3 linked regions of the Oryzias latipes genome follow. The protein of the gene in region 1 interacts with the protein of each later gene in a pairwise test. Links are inferred from orthologs where the notes say so. Each region holds a gene or a part of one and is shown in the gene's direction. Other genes may lie near its edges.

The links.
Region 2: the proteins of serine/threonine-protein kinase 4 (region 1) and sav1 interact in binary tests that used the Homo sapiens proteins (3 or more experiments, as listed by UniProt). The link is inferred for Oryzias latipes from reciprocal best matches to the Homo sapiens genes STK4 and SAV1.
Region 3: the proteins of serine/threonine-protein kinase 4 (region 1) and rassf5 interact in binary tests that used the Homo sapiens proteins (3 or more experiments, as listed by UniProt). The link is inferred for Oryzias latipes from reciprocal best matches to the Homo sapiens genes STK4 and RASSF5.

Annotation. Positions count from the first base shown.
Region 1 is NC_019863.2:32,922,279-32,928,598, forward strand, and holds part of serine/threonine-protein kinase 4, read left to right. Parts: intron 1-1,696; coding exon 1,697-1,777; intron 1,778-2,824; coding exon 2,825-2,953; intron 2,954-3,991; coding exon 3,992-4,106; intron 4,107-5,961; coding exon 5,962-6,126; intron 6,127-6,287; coding exon 6,288-6,320. UniProt on the Homo sapiens protein: Stress-activated, pro-apoptotic kinase which, following caspase-cleavage, enters the nucleus and induces chromatin condensation followed by internucleosomal DNA fragmentation.
Region 2 is NC_019880.2:1,307,797-1,313,307, forward strand, and holds part of sav1 (protein salvador homolog 1), read left to right. Parts: intron 1-319; coding exon 320-796; intron 797-2,794; coding exon 2,795-3,065; intron 3,066-4,317; coding exon 4,318-4,473; intron 4,474-4,610; coding exon 4,611-4,812; 3' UTR 4,813-5,511. UniProt on the Homo sapiens protein: Regulator of STK3/MST2 and STK4/MST1 in the Hippo signaling pathway which plays a pivotal role in organ size control and tumor suppression by restricting proliferation and promoting apoptosis.
Region 3 is NC_019863.2:28,025,151-28,031,470, reverse strand, and holds part of rassf5 (ras association domain-containing protein 5), read left to right. Parts: intron 1-4,047; coding exon 4,048-4,169; intron 4,170-6,320. UniProt on the Homo sapiens protein: Potential tumor suppressor. Seems to be involved in lymphocyte adhesion by linking RAP1A activation upon T-cell receptor or chemokine stimulation to integrin activation.

The DNA of each region.
Region 1 (6,320 bases):
TTCCTATTCTGTCTGCTTATCTGAGTGATGTGACTCTAACGCTCTGTTGTCATCCAGTCCTCTCAGCCTGAAAGAGCAGGGCGTGGAGCTACACTTTTGTGAGACGTTTACCTGGATTTCTGAATGAATGAATAAGTTTTACCTACATTTTTACTTTCGAAGTTCTCTCTGAAGCCAATTACTGAAAAGTTTTTTTTGTGTAAAATATGCCAAGAAAGTGACGAAGATACAGTCATTGGCTCTGTTTATCCTAACTCACTGTAGTTCAATTCAATTCAATTTATTTGCATAGCTCAAAATCACCACAACAGTCGTCTCGATGGGCTTCATTTGAGGCTTTAGTTGATTCCTGAGCGCATTACTGGCTTTTTTTAAACGAAGAAAAATGAAGATCCATTCTATCGTAAAAGCAGCTCTCTTTGTTTGCAATAGAATACAGCGCTGTGGACTGATTATGGGATGTGCTACGTTTCAGGACCACATCTCGGCTGTAGTTCACAACGTCATACTAACTTTGTTGCATCATTTACACAGTTTCCCCTCTGCTAAACACAAAGAATAACTTCAAACCATCACATTCACAGTTTAAGAAGTGGTCTAAAAGTATTTTTTCAACACTTGTAGCTTCTCTTATTTTGTTGGTATTTCACTTTTATAACTGTAAGTGATATTATTCAACACAAGTGCACCTTTGAAATGAGGATTTAATGGAAAAAAACAAACCTTGTGAATACTGGATCATCGTGAATCAGGTGATGTTGACCACATTTTTGGAGAGTTTGTATTTTCACTGGTCTAGTTTGTCTCTTCGGAACAGATCTCAGGTCAGATTTTTACTCTAAAGTCAAAGTTCATCATTTATTAGAGACCTGAAAACTAACTTCATGGGAGATTCAAGAAAAAAGACAGCAGCGCTGCCCTCATGTAACATTTAATTCTTCTGTTTGGTGAAGTGATGTTTTTCAGAGAAAATGTTGAGAAACCGAAGCAGCACTCGGGTTCCACTTTTACATCCAGCTAGCCTAAAAGCACTCGTTAGCCTCAGACACACCTGACGGGGGGGCGGTTACCTGTGCAGAGCTCTGGCAGCACCTGCACCTTCTCAGGTCACAGAGCTGCAGCCGGACTATGACGTCTGGAGATTTTGACCGCTGCCTTCCTGCAGTTCTCCAAAAAGCAGATCGATGTATTTATGTCTGAAGATATTTTGTCTCCAGACTTCAAATTTGAAAAGAGCTTTTGGAGTTCTTCACAGAAGAAGTGGCTCAGATGGGGCTTTCAGAGGCTTTTTCTCACGAAGATCAACAAAAATGATTTATTCCAACATAAAACAGTTTTTCTGACATTTTAATCTTTATTAAACTTAAAACTTTTGATAGTAAAAGTAAAAAAAATACAAGGAATGAATAAAACTCAGCAGAAAAACACATTTAGATCTTAGAACTATTTAAATATAACAATAAGCTTCAATGTTTTAAAAGTAACTCACTTTTTGACAAGTAATCTACGTTTTAGAAGATTTGTTCTTAGTTTCTGTCTGAAGGTCTTGGTTACAGATTTTCTGTTATTAAAGCAAAGCTTCAGCAGAAGCCTTGAACTCTTGAGGAAGCGAGAGCCTTCTTCTGCAGCGGTGGCACGTCGGCTCCGTTGCTGGACTCCGGCACGCGTCTTTACCAACATCCTGGTGTTCTTGCAGGCAGCTGAAGAAGCTGAGCGAGGACAGCCTGACCAAACAGCCGGAGGAAGTGTTCGATGTCCTGGAGAAGCTGGGAGAAGGGTGAGTCCTTCAGTCAAAGCCAGAGTGATGCTCACGACCAAAGCCGTCTTTTGAATGTGTGTTTTTCATTTCATACATTTCAACTTTAATCTCATTATGCAAGCGTCTGTCTGTGTTTCTGCCCATTCATTCATCACCCCCCCCATGCATCTTCATTTCCTGTTTCTCAACGCTCTTCCTGTTCTGAGTGGCTGATTGACAGCGTGTGTGTCGTCAGCTGCTGCAGAGACTCCATATTCATCCTTTTTCCATGGAAGCTAATTTTCAGCAGACTGTAGATCAGTTTTCTGTATTTCCTGTCGTTGGTGAAGGAGGCAGAACGGTCCTACAGGGGCTTCTGATGTTATGAGCTGACCACACAAAACCAGCTGGGTGTGAACCACACCAACGCTCTCAGACTCACATTTATTTAAAGATATTCTCCTGCTTCATGGCATCCATGTTGACATTGATTTCTGAGCGAAATAAACAAAATCCTGTTTCCAGAATAGTTCCTGACTTTGGTGTCTTGCAGAAAGTCTTTCTTTGTCTAATAGATCCTCCCAGACGTTTGGGATCAATTCAACGTTCTTCAACTTCCGTAGTAACCAATTCAATTCAATTTTATTTCTATAGCGCAAATTCACAACAACAGACGTCTCAATGGGCTTCGTGCCGGTAATCGTAAGTTAAACATTCAATCAAAAAGGATCATGAATACATAGAGTTCAATAGAAAATTACTTAAATGAACTAACAAACTGACTAAACTAAACTGGACATCCCTGCCCTTGGTCGTTTTTACCTTAGAGTCACATAAACCAACTGTACCTTAATCTAAATGGTATTTTCTAATGTCGATTTATAATCAATTTCATTTATTTTGAAAGGATTCTTTTAATTGTATTGGTCGATTCAATTTCCTCAGGCAGATGAACTCGATTGGATTGTAGGAATATTAATGGATTAAGTTGATGAATCGTTGCACCCTCAATGGAGACGTAGTCAGAAATCCATCTGAGTGAAAACGTGACGCCGTCAGAGTTTGACTGAACTTCTGTCCCTGCAGGTCGTACGGTTGTGTGTTTAAGGCCAACTATAAAGAAACCGGAGAGATTGTTGCCATCAAGCAGGTTCCTGTAGAGTCTGATCTCCAAGAGATCATCAAGGAGATCTCCATCATGCAGCAGTGCAACAGGTTTGTGTTCTGTGGCCAGAAGAAGCCACATCTGCTTTTCTGAGGCAGCCTGAGCAAAAACACATTTTTTTACAATGTCTCCATATAGCAGCACAGTCTGCACTGCAGAAACCCAACAGTAGACGCACAAACACCAGACACACCAAATCTGTGTTTCTAACACTGAAGCCTTTCTGGACGTTTGAGTCCACATTTGAAAGTGTTCAGAGAGACAGACCACAGACAGATGACGGATTCTGTTTGTGACATAGAGAAGAATTAACTTATCTAAATCTACAACTACATATATAAAGTCCAGCAGACGAGCTTCATTCAGTTGAAGTTGGGGGGACAGTCAGGGGCGCGAGTCGAGCCAGAGACAGGAACCACAGCCAGGTGTAGGAGCAGGAGCAAGAGACGAGGTACTCGGTCAGGAACAGGAGCATGGATGAACCAACTGGAGTCTGGAAGCACTCCCACTCCCCAGGAGGGGAAAGAGGGACAATACATGAATCACTGCACCAAACAGAGGCATGGAGAACTAAATGATGAATAATGATCAAGAATACCAGGTGTTATGATTCAGTTTAACAGCAGTTTGATTCACATCTTAATTTGTGGCTGATGATCTGATCCCTAGTAGATATTTGTTCATTTAGAAAGATCCAATTCAATCCAACTCTCTGTCCTAAAGTGAATCCAGATCCTCTTCATCCAAACTTCCAGCAGTGAGACTCAGACAGAAATTCCTGCTACTGAACAGTTTTCCAGATTCTTGGATTTCTTCCAGATCATCAAGTTAATGAAATCTGTGTCCAAACCAACAAGTAAACTAGAATGAATGTCAAATCCATTCACATGTTAGTTTCCTAAAGTTCACCACTGTTGTTTTTCCACATCCAGAGAATCCAAAGACAGGAAGTCATTTATGACCCACACGGAACACGTAAAATAAAGATTTGACTCAATGACTGATTAGAAAGGCCTAACATGATTTCCGCACAGAGTAACGTGTAACGGTAACACATGACTTTAGTGAACAGAAAGCTGTGTTTTCAGCCCTCATGTAGTGCGATACTACGGCAGCTACTTTAAGAACAGCGACCTGTGGATCGTCATGGAATACTGCGGAGCCGGGTCCGTCTCCGATATCATCCGGATACGCAACAAGACGGTAACGCAATACACACTGAGGCACACACTGTTCAAACATGGACACACCCATCCGTTTGACCCCCCCCCCCCCCCCCAGGCTTCAATGGGACTTTGGTTTTTCTGCTCAAGCAAAGTTGAAGCATCTATTAAATGAAAATCCTCAAATCTCTTGATCTTGTCACGAACAGGACATCGCTATGGAAACAACCATAACTAAATCTGCTCCAGGATTCTCATATCGACTCAGAGAATATTGAATCTAGTCTGTGTTTTTGGTTTGTTTATGAAAACTGAACCACGATCTTCTGAACATCCTTCTTTTACCGTCCAATAAGGCATGACAGGAGTAAAGGTGATGGGTCACTTTCAAACTTATACCCTATACGTTCTCACTACCTGGTGCCTTGCAGGTCTGTAGTTTTCCAATGGCATATCTCATTTCTACTTTCTTAATTTCTTATTGTAATTCCTTGTTTTGCACTTCTCCTATTTATGGTAGATCAAGTGAAGAAAGCTGTTGTCTACACTTGCTAGAATATAAATCTTTGTAGAAAATAATTAATACTTCCTCTTGATCTTCTGTTAATGTGTCTGTTTTAGGATTTCTGATGCTGCTTATTGAGTCATTAGGTTGTTTTCTTAGTCGTCTTGCTAATGATTTCATTAGAATATCATTTATTTCTGTTTGAATTTGTTGTTGGATAGTTTGGGAGGGACTTTGCTTGTGCTGCTTTTCTAAATCATTTCTGATTGCCACTTCCTGGTTGTACTTATCCTTTTTTTTCTTATTTTGTGCAGATGCAATAGCAATTATATTTCCTCTCAAACCTGCTTTTAGCTCTGCTTTTTGGGGTTAACTTCTCATTTCTGGTTTCCTTTAATGAATCTTTTAATTGTGGTTTTCATTTGTTCCTTCACAGTTTCCGTAGTTACCAGTCCTAACGTCAACCCCCACAAAGTATTAAGTATTAAGTATTAATACTTAATAATACTTAAGTATTATTAAGTATTAAGTTAAGTATTTCTCTTTTTTCTGTCTATATGAACTGTTAAAAAGCAGGGCAATGGTCAGAGACAATAATTGTACTACCGGTAATTTAACAAGCTTTCATTCGTCTCCCGCTTATTTTGACTCCTTTCATGTCAGAGCATATAAAAGAGCAAAGGAAGTAACTGAGCTGAACACTAGGCCTGAGTTGATCAATTTGATTAATCGATCTGAATCGATCCAAGCTTAATAATAAATAATCGATCCATAAGAGTAGAGATCAATCTTTTATGCTTTTCTTTTTCCGTGATCCAACACATAACAGCAGCAAAAGTCAAAGTCTGTTAGCTTAAAGCTAACCTATAATGGAATTTCCCATAGGACGGCTAACGCTCGGTCGTCCTACATATACATGGCTGACTAAATGAACAGCTTGATAAACACGCAGGCGTTAACTGAGGAAACTGTTTTCTTTAAAGTAACCATTTGTGGTCTAAAGCACGGTTTTTGTAGGATTAAAGTGTAATGTTGTAGCGCTAGTGCCACCTAGGGGCCAAACTGAAACCCCCTCCAGGAGAGGCAGACCATAATGTTGGAGCTTCACCTTTGGAGAATTCATGTAACGCTGTATGATGTTTATCATTTCACCAATACATTTGGTGAAATGTATCAGGTTCATGTAAATATCTTCAAAACAAATATAGATTATTATATTTGTAGGCTAACCTGTCTAAATGTCTAAACTGTTTAAATTTAAAATGGAATCGAATGGAGTGGATTGAAAAAATCGTGAGTGGAATCGATTCAGGAAGTTATTGGTGATAGCAGCCCTGCCGAACACAAGGCTGTGTCCTTCATCCTCCTCATCGCTTCTTGTGCTGTGAAGCTTTCAGAAGAGGAGATCGCCACTGTGGTGCACTCCACCCTGAAAGGGCTGGAGTACCTCCACTTCATGAGGAAGATCCACAGAGACATCAAAGCGGGGAACATCCTGCTGAACGCCGAGGGCCAGGCCAAACTGGCCGACTTTGGAGTTGCTGGGCAGCTAACGGTGAGGAGCAGACCTCTTATGGAGTTCTCTTCATTCAACCTGGTAGAAACACTAATGAAGATGACTGAAAGCTGCAGACAGCACGGACAGGCAGGATCTGTCAAAGCTGAGGCCTGAAATCCTTCAGCCACGTAACTAAACACCAAAGCTCCTCTCCTCAGGACACCATGGCAAAGCGAAACACCGTGATCGGC
Region 2 (5,511 bases), on another chromosome or scaffold:
CACTAGACAGTGCGCTGAACCTTTTTTCTTCAATGATTTGTGATCTTCACTGGTGTCCATGGATTACATGAAATCTTTCCACCTTTATCCACCTTTGTCCTGGTAGGGAGAACACGTCAATGGAAGAGGGGGGGTCATAGGATAGCACAAGGGTTACATGAAACTGAAACAGTTTCATTAAATGAATCTGTTATAAACTCAAACTCGCTTTCCGTCATTTCGACAATTGTTCGCCAGAAAGGAGGAAACGGACGGTTGTCAGGGTTTCATCTTTGGTGGGAACAGGTTCCTTTGATGCTGAAGTCGTGTTTCTCTGCAGACCTTATGCCCTCGTTCGTTCGCCATGGACCCACCATCCCCAGACGAACCGACGGCCCCCCGCCGGAGTTGGGGTCCTCCACCTACCCCGTTGCATCCAGCCGGGAGTCCGTGGCGTCCCAGAGCAAGAGCGTCCTGCGCCCGCCCGTGCAGAGGCCGCCGCAGGAGGTGGCACGCCGGGAGAGCCACCGCATGTCGGCGCCCCCCTACCTGCCTCGCAGCCTGGGCGACCTTCCCCATGATTACCGGGGCTCCACGCAGTCCTTCCTCACGGACGTGAGCCACGTGTCGGAGAACGGAGACGCGGCCCGCTTTTATTACCCCCCCGAGGCGTATTACGACAGCCCGCAGCAGCAGCGACCCCGAAGGGCGGCAGAGCGCTTTCCCGACGACTACAGATACTTTGAACCCGGCGAACACAACTTCATGAGACATCCCCGCCAGCACACGCCCCCAGCCCCGAGCCGCCCCCCCTCAGGTAAACGGTGTTGGGATAGATTGAAAAGTGTTGTAGAATCAAGATGTGAAGATAAGAATGAAGAGCTGATGGTTTCTACTGCAGGTTTTACCTGAAAAGATGAGATCATCTTTTAAAAACATCTTTGAGTCAACGATCATAGATCTGACATAGATCCTCTGATGGATGATCCACAAATCCATGATCCACAGATCTACGATCCACATATCTATGTTCTACAGATCTATGATCCACAAATCTATGTTCTACAGATCTATGATTTACCGATCTATAATCCACCGATCTATGATTACACATCTATGGTCAATGATTGAAGGGGGTTTTTATTGTCATTGCCGGTGAACAGACAGACATTACAGACTAGACTGCGGCGCCACATAAAACGCTGAGAAACAAAAATGAACAACAGTAAGCAAAATAAAAAATAACAAAAAAAATAGATCAACGGATCTTTGATTTTTTGTCGAGGAAGACCTGCTGATCTATAATTTACAGATCTGCGATCCACTGATTCTATAATGTGTGTACCACAGATCTATAATCCCTTGATCTATGTTCCATTGATGTCTGATCTATAGATCTATTCTCTTTGGAAGACCCGCTGATCCACTGATCTACATTCTGTGGGTCTATGATCCACTGATCTACATTATTCGGGTCTATGATCCACTGATCTACATTCTGTGGCTCTATGATCCACTGATCTAGATTCTATGTGTCTATGATCCACTGATCTACATTCTGTGGGTCTATGATCCACTGATCTAGATTCTGTGGGTCTATGATCCACTGATCTACATTCTGTGGGTCTATGATCCACTGATCTAGATTCTGCGGGTCTATGCTCCACTGATCTAGATTCTGCGGGTCTATGATCCACTGATCTAGATTCTGCGGGTCTATGATCCACTGTTCTAGATTCTGTGGGTCTATGATCCACTGATCTACATTCTGTGGGTCTATGATCCACTGATCTAGATTCTGTGGGTCTATGATCCACTGATCTACATTCTGTGGGTCTATGATCCACTGATCTACATTCTGTGGGTCTATGATCCACTGATCTAGATTCTGTGGGTCTATGATCCACTGATCTACATTCTGTGGGTCTATGATCCACTGATCTAGATTCTGTGGGTCTATGATCCACTGATCTAGATTCTGTGGGTCTATGATCCACTGATCTAGATTCTGCGGGTCTATGATCCACTGATCTAGATTCTGCGGGTCTATGATCCACTGATCTAGATTCTGCGGGTCTATGATCCACTGATCTAGATTCTGCGGGTCTATGATCCTCAGCTGAATCGTCATAGATCTGTAGGTCATAGATCTGCAGTAGGTCTCAAGCGGAAAACCTGGTGTTTATTCAAAGCTTTCTGGACCGTTTGCTTCCCCCTCGTGTTGCTCCCCCTCACCGGAGGTTAAAGGTCACCACACGGAGCACATGCTGATGTTTGACCCGTGGTTAAAGCGGTTCCTGGTGGTTCCTTCACCACATCAAACTCAGACTCTCATCTTTTTTCCCGTCTGGACGTCTTCATTCGTCGTAGAACTTTAGTCTGCGTTTGGGAAACCCGTTTCCATGTCGGTGACTCTTAAACATTTGCTCCTTCGGGCGTCTTCTCGTATCAAATTCCTGCGGGGCGTCTGGATCTTTCTGTGGAAAAGGTCAGGAATGACGATGAGGAGGTGAAGGAGGAGACCGCATTCCTTCTGCCGCAGAATGTGTCTAACTCCAGCCGGCGTTTAGGCGGGAAGCCCCTCCCCTCGCTCGCCTGCAGCTGTCGGACCCGCATTCCTCGCCGACCTTCACCGGGAGCGCTCCAGGAAGTGTTGACGGAGCTCTCCCTGGTGGAGCAGAGAGCTTCCTGTCCTCGGCGCTCCCGCTTCCTTCCGTTCGTCCCGCAGACCCGCCGCCTCTTTCCCACACAGAGAAAACATTCCGGTTTTCCCCGGAGTCTCCCGGTTTTCCCGATGTTTCTCTGTTTCCTTCAGGCATCAGCCAGATCCAGGCCAAGTCTCTGGGGAACCTGTCCAGCCTGGCGGGGGAGGACCTCCCCCTCCCAGCCGGTTGGACGGTGGACTGGACCATCCGCGGCAGGAAGTACTTCATCGACCACAACACCAACACCACCCACTGGAGCCACCCCCTGGAGAGGGAGGGGCTCCCCCCGGGCTGGGAGAAGGTGGAGTCCGCCGAGTTCGGGGTCTACTATGTGGACCACGTCAACAAGAGGGCGCAGTACCGACACCCGTGTGCCCCCAGGTCTGCTAACGCCCCGGTTTCAGGGCTTATTTCAACATTTAAACACCACAAGTATAAATGTTTACATTAATATCAAAACATTAAAAGTGAAACAATTACATTTTATTAGTGTAGCCTAAATTCACAACAACAGTGAATTATGTATATATAAATATATAGACCCCCCCATAACCATGGATGATGGCGTAGCTTTAAGGCGTAAACAGACATTTTTTCCTCCTAAAAAGCCTCATTTGATGCTCAGAAAACCTTCAGGTTGAAAATCAGCTCCGATCCGAACGCCGTCATTCTGCAGTTCAGCCTTTTCAGCTCATTCAACTTTTAGTAAAAAGCTTTTTAACGAAAAATGTTTTTAACATTTTTGTTGGTTTCGTAAAAGAGATTCCAGCCTTTTTGTGTTTGGCATATTTATCTGTGCTGCACATCTTTTTTCATCTAATTTCAGACGATATTGAGCTTCAACTTTTCTGAGAAATCTGAGATTTCTGTAAATCCATCTTTATGTTGGTATTTAGCTGATTGAACTTTTTCATTAATAACAGTTTTTTTAAACTATTATCCCATTTGTTATTTAGTTACTAATTATATTTATCCTTTGAAGATCTTTATAACTCTTACTCATTCAGCCATTTTAAGTGTTTTTCTCTTAATAATTTAGTATTATTTGTATTCATTATGCTGCTGTTTTACCATTTTATTGTGAAACCTGACTGGTTTTAGCTACGTTAGCGTTTTGTTCATGTTAGCGTATTTTTTGTGTTAGCATGTTGTCTATGTTAGCTTGTTATCTATGTTAGCGTGTTGTTCATGTTAGCGTGTTTACTATGTTAGCGTGTCCTTCATGTTAGCGTGTTGTCTATGTTAGCGTGTCGTTCATGTTAGCATGTTGTTCATATTAGCATGTTATCTATGTTACCGTGTTGTTCATGTTAGCATGTTGTCTATGTTAGCTTGTTATCCATGTTAGCGTGTTGTTCATGTTAGCGTGTTGTCTATGTTAGCGTGTCGTTCATGTTAGCATGTTGTTCATATTAGCATGTTATCTATGTTAGCGTGTTGTGTTAACATGTTGTCTATGTTAGCCTCTTGTCTATGTTAGCTTGTTATCTATGCTAGCGTATTGTTCATGTTGTTAGCATGTTGTTCGTGTTAGCATGTTGCTCAGCGTTGTGTAGCGTCTGTAGTTTGAACCCGTAAGACTGATATTCTTATAGAAACTGGTTTGTTCTGTTCTCATGAATCCATGGTCCAGCGTGCCGCGCTACGACCAGCCGCCACCCCTGCCCCCGCCTGTCACCTACCAGCCCCGCCCGGCAGAGAGGAACCAGCCGGTCCTGGTACCGGCCAACCCGTACCACACGGCCGAGATCCCAGACTGGCTGCAGGTGTACGCCCGCGCCCCGCTCAAGTGAGTCGGACCAGAACTGGTTTCTGAGAAACCTCCATCCAGAGAGTTGTTGGTTTGTCTGTTTGAACTGGAGAGAGGTTCGATTCCCGCCCTCTGCAGGCTGTTGAAGACCTTTCTGAGACCCGTCTGCTCCTCAGGTACGACCACATCCTGAAGTGGGAGCTGTTCCAGCTGGCCGACCTGGACACGTATCAGGGAATGCTGAAGCTGCTCTTCATGAAGGAGCTGGAGCACATCGTCAAGTCCTACGAGGCGTACCGCCGGGCGCTGCTGTCCGAGGCGGACGCCCGCTCACAGCGACAGCAGTGGTACAGCAAGAACTTTGTGGCCAACATGTGACGACCTCAGAGTTCATTTTAGAAAACCCATCTGTGCCTTCGCTTGATCCAAAGCATGGACGGGAAGAGGGGCGGCCCCACACGCCTCAAACAGAGGAGCTCTTTGCTGGGCAACAGTCAGAGAGCTGCAGCTTTAAAGTGTGGGTTCTGCTCCGACCCAAACCCCAACGTTTCGCCGTTCCTGCACGCCTCACCCGACAATCCTCCGAAGCTCGGCTGCCATTGATGGACGCCGCTCTGCGTTGGCGCTCGCTCGAAAAACCCGTTTTCCTGAACCATAAGCTACTAGAACGTTTGAATCTCACCAAATATGTGCAATTCAGCATTTTTTTTCTGGATTTTTAATGAATTTTTGTGGACTGGTCCAAATGAAAACCTCCGCTGCTCTGTCGGAGTCAGGACTCGAACACGCCTGAAACCCTGTACCTGTGCGGGAGCGTCCAGCCTGCTCCTATGAATAACCTTCAGAAGCGGTAACGTCTGCGGTGACGGAGGGATAAACGTTTACTTCATCAGCAAAACAAACATTTCTGCGTTTGTACATATTTGTCACATTTAGATGTTTCAAAATAAAACTCAAAGTTTAAAAAAACGAAAAACAAACCCAAAGACGTCCAAACCTGTAAAAAAGTCTTTTTCCTTCAGATCTAAAGACGGAGACTTTTCATCAGAACCGTGGTCACGATGGCGAGTGATGCGC
Region 3 (6,320 bases), about 4.9 Mb from region 1:
GAAATTGAATGTTAAGGACAACTCCTAATTCCTGGTCTCTTTCAGTCTCGCTGCAGCTTCGATTTCATGCAAGTTTGAGACCCCTGCTGTACACTCTGGCACTAGTACACTAGCTGCAGGTCGGAAGAACGAATCAATAGTTCGCTTGCTCATAGCTCAGACGCACATATCAGGTTGTGATGATATTTGTCTCCGTTTCCTTCCCACAGATGTTTACGCGCGCTCGATTATCTCTAGGCCCCGCCCCTCCACATATTTTAGCCACTTGCAGTGACTTTCCCTATTCTTCTCACACGCATTGGCCGCCTCAGGCATCACTCAATGAAACGCGAGTGTGTGCTCGCGTGTGCTCCAGTCTCATGAGTATTCGCGCGAGTGTGTGTGTCTGCCTGCGTGCGTGTGCGCTCGCGTCTCATTGATGATTTCATCTCTCATTTCATCGATCATTGACGTGCTCCTTTCATGTTTAATGTATAAAAAATACGGAGGGTGGAGGAAGCAAATTTACTGGTCGCACATGTGCGACTGGGTGTAAAATTCAGTCGCACACTCAAATTTTGGTCGCAACATGCGACCAAATGGACGCAGTCTGGAGCCCTGTGTATATATTAAAGCTTCTAAAACTAGGTTCAACTCACCGTTGATTGTGTGTACACTTTTCCCACAATGAAGCCGTTTGTGTCAGTTGTACGTACTGTGAGCATTAACTCGGCTATGCCCACATTTCTCCTCCGTGATCTCCTCTCACCCTGACAATAACATGAAAATCATGTCTCAAACACATAATTACAAATGCATCGCCAATACGGTACACATCAGTTTAAAATGTAATGTTCTTATGTACGTTGCCAATAAGTAGAATTTCTAGGTTAAAAAAATTGCAGGAGTGGGTTACATGTATCACTGGGGAAAAAAATGAGGTGAGAGAGACTGTTAAGGGGGGGGGTAAATGTTATTCATGAGGGGAAAGTTTTAGAGTTGCCTTTGTTTATGGAGAGGAGTCTAAAAAAAGTTATTTTATTTTTGTACAAATAACCAAGTACTTATACTGCCTGATATGTGAATAAAATATTTCTTTATGAATAACATGAATACCTCAGAGGAAAGCCATAAACGTTCACAGCGTCACTGAAGAAGGCCAAGTCTGCACAGTTGTTGTCTGCTATCTTCTCAGGTACAAGATCTATGGAATACAAGTACAAATAATTTCAACTGACAGATATTTACAGCGGCAAAAATGCTAAATTCCCAATTGACAGGTAAAACAGTAATACAATAGGATGATAAAATATGAAATAGAATAGAATAGAAGGGTATTTAATAATCCCTGAGGAATTTTTTTTTAAATGGCCATCTTAAAAAAACACATAAACACACATGCATTACAAATAGAAATATCACAAAATAAAAAGATTGATAAAAAAAGGTAAATAATTGGAAAATCAGTGGGTAAAATTAAAAGAAATTACTTGTAAGATGCCCTGCCAGAGAGTTGTATTGCCTGATGGCACGAGGAACAAAAGATTGTCACGCTGTCACGCTTCAGTAATTCCTAGAGAATAAATAAAAACACAACAAACATGGATTAGATCATTTAGCTGTCTGATCTTAAATTACATAATTTTCAAATATATGAAAGGGGAATTTTTTAAAACACTCTTGCTATGATAACTTGAGCTTGTAGTAAAGAACACCTTTAAAAAAAAATCAGAGACAAGACACTGATCACAGGAAGCCTGTGAGTAATACTTACAGTAACTTCTACTCTAATCACTGTTGACAGCTGATTTCTCCCATCCACCCTTTCTGTGACTACTTATTGACTACAAAACAGCCTAAAAACATAATGTTTGGGATTCTTGTCATTACGTCATTGGAAGTAAAGAGATACGGGGATTTTAGTGGCTGTCACTCTGACACAATCTCACAGGGCTGGTCATCACAATGAATACGGGTTCTAACGTTAGAAACTTAATGAGGCTTCTTTCATTCAACAGTGGATTCATGTCTGTTATATTTAAAAAATGCCGTTTTCATGATTGTCACATGAATTAACTTCTTTGCACAGTCGACCCCGTCTTAAAGTCTGGGTTGTGAAAATGCTGTGTCTAACTTTAACCCGGATCGCGTTTACATAAAGGCAGCACATGGAACAACTAGCTAGTTAGCATAGCATAGCATCAGTGTTTAAACAAATCGCCGTCTCCAAATCAATACTTTTTATTAAACTTTCTTTGCTGCTGTAAATCCGGCATGCTTTTCCCCTTAGTTCTATCTGAATCATGTTAAGAACCTACAGATCATTGGCTATAGACGCTAGCTTGAACCGACACCGGCTTGAACTTCACTCACTCTCACAGGCAGACACAACTTGCACAGGCTAAGCAAAACAAAGCTGAGCTAATTTGCGGTGGGGGTACTCTGCAAACGACTCGGCTGCAGTGTTCATAAAGCATTCACACATGTCACTTGGCAAAGGAGAACGCTTCAACTTAGTATTCAATAGCATTACAGGACGTACGACGAGGGAATGATCAAATAAATGCATTACTTACGGGCTGAGACTGATCCCGTTCAGAAGACCTCTCCGCCATGTTTGCCGCCCGCGTCCTTTCAACTGCTGTGCTGAACAGCTCCCTCCCTCGTCACTTTGAAAGTGAGGAGTGTAAGGGACCATTCGATTGGTTAAAAGCGAACCCGCCTGCTTTCCCGATGAGTTTGATTGACAGATTCACTAGCCAATGGTGACATTAGTTGACCCGCTCCGTCAGATGAGTCTCAATATTCACCGTAGAAAAATCTCTCACACACACGGGGAGATTCACAAACGAGAACGGGATTTTGAATGCACAGTCTGCAATTCGAATGATCTGTGAGTTCACATCACATGTGTACCTAAAAATCACGTTTGTGAAGCACCTACTGTGCATTTCTGATACATTTATTGTGAATTTCTAAAATGTTTTTGTGAAAAACAGTGTGCACATTTGTGAGAAACACTTATTGTGCATTTGTAAAACATTTAGTGTGCATGTGTGAAACACAATCTGTGTGTTTGTGAAACACAGGGTGTGTATTTCCGAATTTATTTTTCACGTTTGCATAAAATGACATTTGTGAATCGGAGCGTGTGCATTTGTAAAACCGGTTGTGTGCATTTCTGATTATTGAGACTGAATTAACTCCATAACTTGTTGCCATGGTGATAGTGCTGATGCTGAGTGTGAGACCAGCAATGTCCTCCTTCCTAAAAGATAAATCTTCAAACAGCCATGCTTATCACAACCAACAGCACACACATCAACCATGGGGGAGTCTTTTGTTTCTGTCGGAACGTTTAGAAAACTCTTTCTGTCTGCGGTCGGTCGGTCTGACTGACTCAGACTTTCTTACTCAGCTTTTAGATTTGTTTTTTTTTTTGGTTCAAATGGTTTCCCCCACTGAAGAGAAGTGAGATTAAAGGCCACGCTTTCTCGCTGCGACCACAACAGAGAGGAGGCAGACGCACTGACATGTAGAGAACCAGCTGAAAGTACAGAACAACAAAGGACCATTTTGGAACTTTTGAGGGAGGGAAGCAGTCTTTTGTGTATTTATGGGTTGGGTATTTTTTTTTAGTTCATAAACCAACAAAAGATAAACACAACTCAGCTCTCTGTAGGAGTATTCATTTCGGGGGGTTTTCTGCATCAGGTCATAAATCTGCATCATAGATAAATAGATAGATAGATAGTATTTTTTTTAAGTCAACCCAAATCACTACATTTAAAAAGATGTTAGGGTTTTGCCAACTCTTCTGCATGTGAGTCTGAATTTAGCCACTAGATGGAGCTATTTTCTTGCTTCAAATACTTTAAGCCTTTAGATCTTTGTCATTTCAAAACAAAACAAAAAAACTTTGACAGACACTGAATGATCATGGCCGGCTCCTTCAGGAATGCCATCTGCTGAAATATAAATCACTAAATTTCTCATAATTTGACTGTTATCTGAGTCATCCTTGTGCCTAATCTCACCTTTGACCTGATGTGTGTTTGTGTTCATCAGACTGCAGCTACACCTGCCACCTGGAGTGTGAGAGCCAGGTCCAGCTTGATTGCAACCAGAGAGACAGACAACCAGGAGAAACTCGGTCTCCCACAAACCTTTGCACCAGACCTCACCATAAGGTACGAACTTTCAGATTAAAAGCCTTTTTGAGAGCAGAGAGTGAGAGAGAGAGAGACGGTGGTGGAGAAGATGTGAAGATGACAAAGAATTAGGTCATGATTATTTTCAACCTGCATCCATCATCTGTCCTTCTAAAGATGTGACCATCATCGGTAATCATTTCTTCTGCTTAGCTTTGTATTTTTGCATCTTTTTATTTTCCTCTTGTGATTTTTTTTTTTTTTTTTTTTTTTTTTTTTTTTTACTCCTGGGGCTCAGCATCCTCCTCCCCCTCTCCTCCGTATATCCATTTATCACCCCCTCTCTTTTATTTTTCTTCTCTTTTTCACCTGTTTTTTATTTGTACTCGACGTTGAATCATAAAGTCCTCTCATGCCTGGGTTTTTAAAATAGACGGAAAACATTTATTATTCTGGTTCATTTTATTCTCTGCAATAAAGAATCCACACTTTCAATAAAACCCAAACTACTTTATCTCAGATTTTCATGAAAAACGGTGTGAGGTTTTGCTCATGTTGTTCCACTGTTGCATTGTGGGTCAGTACAGTGAAGATGCAGCCTCTCAGCACAGCAGCTCTCTTTGTGGAAAGCTCTCCTCCCACACACTGTGGTCCTGCACAACCCACTCAAGCCTGCAGCAGCGCGTTGGCAGATATTCCTCACCGCCGGCCAGATTAGACTGAATGAGAGGAGCTGGTAGTCGGCCATAAGTAGTACTACGCTTGCAGATAGTATGAATGCACTGACAGTCTGCTCTGCGACATGCTACTCATGACAAGTGAAGAGGGAGATGATGGAGGTTCATGTCTTTTATTGTTCTATTGTCTGTGCAAATATTTACATCCATACTTAAAACCATATACTGAGAAAAGAAGGTTAGCTTTTAAAAATACAGAAATTCATATCCGCTTCCATCCACAGTCACAGACATGCAGCCGGGTTACAAGCTAGCTGTTTATGGAGCCGTTTGTTGTCTTCAGTATTGACATATTGATGCAAATGAGCACAATCTACAAGCAAAAAGGCAATGATGAAACAACCGCATCCCAAACACATTTGTCATTATTTCCCTCCAAACAAATGACATAATCCATTACAATGCAGATGGAGAAAATGAGGGGAATTCAGCAAACACGGTTGACATGTGACATGAATGCAGCGCCAGTCTCAAATCATTTCCCGCAGCCTCGTCTCCCTCGTTTTATGCATGCTTTTTTCGTTTTATTGTTACTTTGTGTTTGCCTCAGCAAAAATTGATCCTCTTTGGTCCCTGCTGCAGCGGCACTCACAATCAGCACACTGACCAGGTTTTATTGACTTGAAGTCAGGAGAAAATATGTCTTCTGTGTGCATGTGTGTGTGGGTGTGTGTGTGTGTGGGTGGGTGTTGGGAGCATCCCACCCCCTGCTCACTCCCCGAGTGATTGCACTGACGGAGGTGAGAAGCATGCATTAACTCTGGCACTGAATCAAAGGTGAAATGCAGACGCAACCCGTAAAGTCTTGACTGCATTGGATCAAAAGTCGTGTAGCAGCAGCGGCGGCGGCAGCATCTGTTCGGACACACGGTTCATCAATCTTTTAGTTGATGTGGTATCAGCTGCTTTCTGACGAGGGGTGAGGGGGGGCAGTGTGTGCGGTCGGTATGAGGTTAGAGGTCACCTAATCTCTTTTTCTCATTTCAACCCTTTAGCATTTTCCTTATCTCCTCTTTAGGAGCACAAACCCACCACCTCCTCCTTTGCAAATAAGCAGAAACGTTTACTCCATCACACTCCCTAAAGCGTTTTTTCTATACAGTCTAGTCCTAATTGTGATTTAGCTCCACATAAAAGCTCCATTTAAAGTCAGACTCCAATCATTTTTTGATCTATTTTCAAATCTTTCCCAGTGGTCTTTTTATTCAGGTTACGTTGTTTTCTGCCAAAACAAAACAAAAAACTGTGTTGTTTTCCAGGACATAGTTTCTGCAGAGCGGCAGGAGTTCAGTAGAAATTCACCTCTAAGGTGTGGGTGGAACTGTTGGCGAGGCGTAAGGCTACCCTCATTTCCCATCATCCCTCTGTTTACACGTTATCCTGCTAGCTTACAGTCCCTCACACCCAATATTACCGGTGCAAAAAAAAATGGCGAGCAATATTGGAGCTATCC